Linked DNA regions of Anolis sagrei. The protein of the gene in region 2 purifies or fractionates together with the protein of the main gene of each other region. This does not show direct contact. Links are inferred from orthologs where the notes say so. Each region holds a gene or a part of one and is shown on either strand. Other genes may lie near its edges.

What was found.
Region 1: the proteins of ANKRD17 (region 2) and HOXB6 purify together in Homo sapiens (co-immunoprecipitation; 3 studies listed by BioGRID and IntAct, with this or other methods). This does not show direct contact. The link is inferred for Anolis sagrei from reciprocal best matches to the Homo sapiens genes ANKRD17 and HOXB6.

The regions. Positions count from the first base shown.
Region 1 is NC_090026.1:33,152,610-33,156,524, reverse strand, and holds the start of HOXB6 (homeobox protein Hox-B6), read right to left. Parts: upstream 2,949-3,915; 5' UTR 1,941-2,948; coding exon 1,505-1,940; intron 1-1,504. UniProt on the Homo sapiens protein: Sequence-specific transcription factor which is part of a developmental regulatory system that provides cells with specific positional identities on the anterior-posterior axis.
Region 2 is NC_090026.1:53,232,807-53,236,721, forward strand, and holds the start of ANKRD17 (ankyrin repeat domain-containing protein 17), read left to right. Parts: upstream 1-884; 5' UTR 885-899; coding exon 900-1,541; intron 1,542-3,915.

The DNA.
Region 1 (3,915 bases), about 20 Mb from region 2:
CTTGATAAGGCCTCTTTCCTCCTGCAGGAAGTTCCTATCCACTTCTTCCTGCCTTGTGGATCCTAAATTTGGTGGACTCCAAAGTCTACTGACTTGGAAACAGACCTCGAGTTTGCTCCATGCGACATTGATTCTGGAAGGAACATCTTCCAAATCGGGTCGAACTAAGCCTCAAAACCAACGCCACCTTAACTGGGGAGAAAAGTCCACTGGAGATCGGCTGGTCCAAGTAGGACTCACTTCGATGTTAGTGCTAGTGGGATGTAATGGCGCATAGAAATCAATGAGACTTGGCTTCCTGGCTGATGTGTTTTTAGGGTCGCAGTGAAAAGCTGGCAGGGTTTGGCCCTGGGAGGGAACCGAAAGCCCCCCTCCCTTTGCCCACTCTTGTATCTGAGGGGAAAATGAAGGTTGGAAGTTCTCAATTTCTCCTCTGCCTTCACCCCTCTCTCATTCTGGGCAGCCCTCTTTGGCCCTCTTCCTTTCTATCCCAGGAAACGTTCTGCACTGTGTATCCCACCTTCTCTGCCTTTTATTTCTGTGCGTCCCCTCCCTCCTTTATCAGCAACTGTAATAGATTGGAGAATTTATGGAAGTGTATCGATTCTCTCTCACATTCCTCCCTCTCCACCCCCTGGGTCAGGAATTTTAGAGCCTGGCGGCACATTATAATACATAGGGACAGGAGGACAAGGACGAGCTGTTAGCACGTCTTGATCTTTTCCTAAAAAATAATTTCCATGGAAAATAAAACGCACCTGGAGGGAACCGCCGATGGCAGAAGAAGAAGAAGGTGCGGGATTCGTGGGAGGAGGAGGAGGAGGGAGGGGCAGGGAGTGAAAGAGAAACTATGAGCAACTCCTCTTCAGACAGGCATTTCATTATGCCTGAGTTTCATTAAAAATGTAGCTCATTCCCTTCAAATATTTAAAACCTTTTGACATTAGTCAAGCGGCTGGGATTAAAGCCTGCACTCTTTGGGACTGGAAAGGGAAGCGGTGGAGGGGGAAAGGAGGACCAGGTTCGTTACAATAACGCAGGAGGGGGACTCCAGCAGAACCCGGATCCCATCCCCTGCATGTGTGTGCGTGATGTGTAAAACTACCTCAGACAGGCCACGTAAATCACTCCTGGAGAGTGACAGCTAACAAGCCTTTCCGCTCCATCAAGAGTCTCCGGACTTTGTTTGGATGCAGAAAGTTAGGGAAAGAAACGAACCAAGTGAAAGGGGGGGACACAGCCTGCCCCTTCTTTGCCTCCCCTTCCTCAAAAAAACCAAAACAAACAGGCACAGATGACACGGGAATGATCTGAAGTGGGAGAAAAGTTTGGAGAAAGTTTTCCTTCTCTTCCAAACCAGACTTGGAGGGGAAGTGAGATGGGGAGGACATTTCCTGTTTAGGCATGGGGTGCAAAGATGTCTCTCTCTGTGTGTGTGTCCCAACCCTGTCTCCCTCTGAAAGTCACGAGTCCCCGAAAAGTCCAGAGTCAAGGGCAAACTTACTGTTGCAGGAGTTCATCCTCTGCATCCAGGGGTACACGGGGGTCGAGCACTTCTGGTCGTCGCTGTCCCCGAAGACGTGTTTGCTTTGGGAGCAGTCGGACTTCCTGCCCGACTCCTGCCCGAACTGAGCCGGGTCGTCCAAACTGGAGAGGGAGCAGGCGGAGGTCTCTTTCTCCCGGTAGAAGCCCGGGGGCGTCCCGTAATCGCAGGCGGCGGGGCTCCGGCTGTAAGGCGCCCCTCCGTTGGCTTGCTGGTAGTAAGGCGCGCCGGGGTAAGCCTTCTCTGGGACGCCGCCGGCCCCAGGTCCATAGGTGGCGGGGTAGTGCCTTAAAGGGTCCGCGTACCCAGTGGGATACAAGGGCAGCTGTCCCAGGAAGGGCTCCTGGCCCCCGGCTAAGCTCACCGGGAAAGTGGAGTTGACGAAATAAGAACTCATTGGAAAATTAATAATAATAATAACAACAATAATGATAATAATAATAATGCAGAAGAGCAGAACCTGCTCTTTCCCGGGGTCTTTATGATTTGTTGCGTTTTATAGTCCAAGCGGTTTAGCTATTAGCAGTATATGGGAGATTGGGTTTTAGCTGAAGGGGGATGGCCGCGTGCCAACCAGGGACATAAGGAAAGAAAACCATCTGATCAGGCGCTGACCAATCGCAGGAGCCGAAGACGCCGAAATCGCACCCTGGAGGGGTTCGCTTTGCACAGGGGACCCCCCTAGAACAAACCAGCCACAGCATCTCCGCCACCAACAACCATCACTTTCCAACAACAGAGAGAGCGAGAGAGAGAGAGAGAGAGAGAGAGAGGAGGGGAGGGGGGAAACACTCCCAAACGCACCCCCCCTCCTTCCACCTATCCGAGCTCAACCCTCAGATATACACAAACCCACACCTTCAAACCCATGCTCCCCCTTTGAGCCATATATAGTCGTTCTCTCAGAGATAAGATCCATCCCTACGAATCGTTTTGGAGTTTCCTTTTAAAACAAAAAGAGGAGTAAATAAATAGAGGAGGAGGAAGAGGAGGAAAAGGGAAGTGTGGAAGCACAAACGAGGGAGGAGATGAGCCTGGTTGCGAATGTGGAGAGGCGAAAGGAGAGAGGGAAAAGGGGGTCTCTCTCTCTTTTCCTTTGGAAAAAGTTTGGTCCATTTCAGCGTGTTTATAGGGTGGGTTTGGAAAGTAAGGGGGACCTCTACACACACTCACACCGGTAGCAAAAGAAGGAGGAAGCCTCTATCTTTGGAGGAGGAAAAGTTCAAAACTCCCCTTCCCCTTATTTTTTTTATTTTTTTTGGAGTAGGTCTAACCTATCCGGAGTATCCTAAAAATAACTTGAATCCTGTTCCTAGTGAAGGATGAAGGGGAATTCCTTTTCCAAGCTCCCCTCCTTTCATTCCACCTGATTTTCTCCATTAAATTTACCTAATGGGTTGAAATGGCGCGCGTGGGGGGGGGGAGCGTGTTTACATTTCCACGCGTGTCCCTTTGGTCGCCCCGGCCCGTACCGTTTTATGAAGTCCGGAAGAGGAATGGATCGAAGGACAGAGCTCGAAGGAAGAGTCCGTATATCTGTCTTCCCACAACTGTGCCCTCTTGCGTTTTTTATGCTGGCGGCGGGGCTTTGGACAGTTTAGAGTTAAGGAGAGCTAAGGCTGGTCTGGCGGCCGAGAATTCTCCTTTATTGATCACCCAGCATCGAAACCCAATAGGTAAGGCGACAGCGATTGGTCATCGAGTAAATGATATATATGGCCCTATGGGTCGATATAAGGTGAGCCCCTCGTGAGGGAGTTTGGGGCGGAAGGGTTTGTTTTTGTCTCGAAACTCGGAACTGATTGAAGTGGCTCAGAAATCAGAATTCGGTAGAATACCTTGTATTTCAAAAATGAATGAAAGGGTCATGATTATTTCACAAGTTCCTTTCCAAGTCACCGGTTCACCCTGGTGAAGAATTCCCTTCACTATAAGGCAACTCAAATATGTTGCCTTCCCCTGACTTCGACTTTATTTCTAGACTCTCTTATACTTCGAGAAATCTTTTCCAAATGGTCCAACTGTAGACTTGAGTGGCCTGTCCCTTTCTCTGTTGTGTTTGCCTTCGTTCTGCTTCTTTCTTTTCTGTGAGACGTCTAAAGTATCCTGAACCGTCAAAACTAGGTTGTTGTGAGTTTTCCGGGCTGAATGGCCATCTTCCGGAAGCATTCTCTCCTGACGTTTCGCCTGCATCTATGGAAGGCGATACCTCACGACTAGCTTTGAAAGTTGTAAATATATGCCTCTAATTTAGCCCAGTTTTTGATGGTCTGAATTGAGGTCGATGTCGTTGCAAATCTGGACAAATGAAGTTGTAATCCAATCTACCTATCTATCACCCGTCTATTACAGAAGGTTTAATCTCATAGGAA
Region 2 (3,915 bases):
CCCACACTTCCCACTGAAATACTAATAAGTTTATATTTGTTAAAATTGTTCTTCATTTTAATTATTGCATTGTTTTTAAGTGTTTTTTGCACTACCAATAAGATATGTGTGCATAAGAATTAATTCATGTTTTTTAAAATTATAATCTGGCCCTCCAACAGTTTGAGGAACTGTGACCCGGCCCTTTGTTTAAAAAGTTTGAGGACCCCTGATATATATGGAGCCCCCGGTGGCGCAGTGGGTTAACGTGCTGAGCTGCTGAGCTTGTTGATTGAAAGGTCGCAGGTTCGATTCCGGGGAGCGGCGTGAGCTTCCGCTGTCAGCCCTACCTTCTGCCAACCTAGCAGTTTGAAACATGCAAATGTGAGTAGATCAATAGGTACCGCTCCGGCGGGAAGGTAACGGTGCTCCATGCAGTCATGCCGGCCACGTGACCTTGGAGGTGTCTATGGACAACGCTGGCTCTTCGGCTTAGAAATGGAGATGAGCACCACACCCCAGAGTCAAACATGACTGGACTTAATGTCAGGGGACTACCTTTACCTTTGTATGTATATATATATATATATATATATATATATATATATGCTCTGTGAATCATAGAATCAAAGGGTTGGAAGAGACCTCATGGGCCATCCAGTCCAATAGATATATATATTTAGAAGTCCAGCATTGAAGAGAATGTCTTTCTTTACTTTTAAAAAACAGAAAACCTCCGCCTATGGAGGGGAAACAAAAAAACAAAACAGGCAGAAAGGGAAAGCCTGCAGCGAGAAGGACTCTCACCTTTGTACACCCCTTATAACGGCGCGGGAAGATGACGTTGGGCGGCTACCCGGAAGCTTCATCCGCGGAGCCTGCGCAACAGGGTAGGCCACGAGCCTTTCCGGCAGCCGCGCATGCGCCGAAAGGGGACTGACGGAAAGAGCCAGAGAGGGGAAAAAAGAGAACCGGGTCGCGTGGGGTCCCGGAAATCTCGCGAGAGTTTCGTCACGCAGCCTCACTTCCCTCCTTCCTGCCTTCCTCGCGCGACGGCTCTGGAGGTGACCGGCGGTGAGGGAAAGAGAGAGAGAGAGAAAGAGGCAGACGTGACGATGGAGCTCCCGCCGCTTCCCCCTCCCCCGGCCCCGGAGGAGAAGGGCAGCGGGGCTGAGCAGGAGGAGGAAGGGAAGCCCGCCTCCCCGGCCACCGCGGAGGGGCTGGCACGCGTCTGCGACCTCCGCGTCCAGGGAGAGGAGCCGCCTCAGCAGGAGCAGCCAAGCCCGCTGTCGCCTCTTCTCCCTCAGCCGCCGCCGAAGCGGACCTGGACTCGACGCCGACGGCAGCACCAGCAGCAGCAGCAAGACAGGCCTCCCGGAGTGGAAGGCGGCGGGGGCAACAGCAGTAGCAGCAGCAGCGAAAGCAGCGAGGAGGAGGAAGAGGAGGAGGAAGAAGAGGAGGAGGAGGACGACGAGGAAGACGAGGACGAGGACGACGAGGAGGAGGAGGAAGAGGACGAGGAAGAGGAGGAGGAAGAAGAGGAGGACGAGGAAGTGTCTGAGGTAATCCACTCTTCAGGGTTAGCTTCTTGCTTTCTGGAAGAGGAGCCTGGCCTGGTTACCTAACCTACGCACATCTCCATTGGCATGTAACAGAGTTTGGAAACTGCATTATATCACTTCACTTTGTTTCATAACTAGCTTGGGTACCTGGTGATGTCCAGGTTATTTTATTTATTTAGTTATTATTCAAACTTATATGTTGCCACTCCCCAGGAGCTCGGAGCGGTTAACAAGAATGGCTAAAATCTAACACAATTTATAACCAGCAATATCAAAAATCAAAGTCCTGTCGAAACAGGTATGTCTTACATGCCCTGCGGAAAGCTGATAAGTCCCGCAACAGGGGGACTTCAGGTGGCAGAGTATTCCAGAGTGATGGTGCCACTGTTGTAAAGGCTCTGCGTCTGGTTGCTGTTAGACGCAAGGTCTTGACACTGGGAATTTCCAACAAATCTTGGTCCTCAGAAGGGAGGGATCTCTGGGGTTTGTAGGGGGTGAGGCAGTCCCTCAGGTACATCGGCCCCAGACCATGCAAGGCCTTCAATTATTATTATTATTATTACTTTATTTGTACCCCGCTAGCATCTCCCAAGGGACTCGATGCGGCTTACATAGGCCGAGGCCTCAGAACACAATACAACAATACAATACATAAAGCAAATTAAAAACAGTTAAGCAGAGTAAACAATAACAGTAACAATACATCGAAACAATTATTAAAACTGGGCCGGCCAGAGTAGTGGGTACAGGATTAAAAGTGCTGATATTGCGGGAGGAATATAGGGTTATAAAATAAGTGCAGTGTGCGGTGTACAATGATCGTGGTTCTATTAAAGTGCATCTGGGACTTGGTATTGAGGTTCCTAATCTGAAAAGGCACATCGGAACAGCCAGGTTTTCAAGTTCTTCCTGAAGACTGCCAATGTAGGGGCCTGTCTAAGATCTTTTGGGAAGGCGTTCCAAAGTCGGGGGGGCACCACAGAAAAGGCCCTGTCTCGCGTCCCCACCAAGCGCGCTTGCGACGCGGGCGGGATCACGAGCAGGGCCTCTCCAGATGACCTAAGTGAGCGTGTGGGTTCGTAGATGGAGATGCGGTCACGCATGTCTTACATGCCCTGCGGAAAGCTGATATGTCCCGCAACAGGGGGACTTCAGGTGGCAGAGTATTCCAGAGTGATAGTGCCACTGCTGTAAAGGCTCTGTATCTGGTTGCTGTTAGATGCAAGGTCTTGACACTGGGAATTTCCAACATATCTTAGTCCTCAGAATGGAGGGATCTCTGGGGTTGGTAGGGGGTGAGGCGGTCCCTCAGATACATCGGCCCCAGACCATGCAAGGCCTTAAAGGTGAGTACCATCACTTTGAAAGCTGCTCAATTGGTAACCAATGCAGCTCTAGTAAGATTGGTGTTAGGTGGCATCTCATCGGAATTCCCACAAGAAGCCGAGCAGCTGCATTTTGTACCAACTTGAGCTTCCGGATCACCGTCAGAGGAAGGCCAATGTAGAAGACATTACAGTAGTCCAGTCTTGAGATGACCGTAGCCTGGATCACCGTAGCTAGGTCGTCCCTGGACAGGAAGGGGGCCAGCCGTTATTTGAGAAAGGCATTGTTTGTTTTGGGGTGTTAGGTAATACCATTTAGTAACACGATTTAGTAGGAAAAAAGCCAATTTTTGATATTGTCCCCTGTCCATCCTCTCCCAAAACTCCCCAGGATAAAAAGTATGCCATGGAGAATCTCTGTGGTAAGTTTGGTCCGTCATTCGTGGGGGTCTCAGTTGCCTCAGGATGTGGATGAAGGTACCGCAAATCCCATCATTTTATTTATTGGGTTGTTGTAGGTTTTTTCAGGCTATATGGCCATGGTCCAGAGGCATTCTCTCCTGACGTTTCGCCTGCATCTATGGCAAGCATCCTCAGAGGATGCTTGCCATAGATGCATGCGAAACGTCAGGAGAGAATGCCTCTGGACCATGGCCATACAGCCCAAAAAAACCTACAACAACCCAGTGATTCCGGCCATGAAAGCCTTCAACAATACATTTTATTTATTTATTTATAATTCAAACTTATATGCCCTCTACTCCCTCTCGGAGCGGCTTACAAGAACAGGCTAAAATCTAACACAATTTAAAAACAACAATATTAGAGATCAAAGGTCCATCCTTCCCCAAAACATAAAGTAGGTCGTGGGTCTTTGTGTCATGTGTGGTCCAGGTCCATCATTCGAGGGGGTCACACTTATCCCAGGAAGTGAGTGAAGGTCCTGCAAATCCCATCATCTGTGGCAAGTGTGATCCAGATCCATTGGTTGGGTTCAGAGTGCTGTCTGGATGTAGGTGAACTACAACTCCAAGAAATCAAGGTCACTT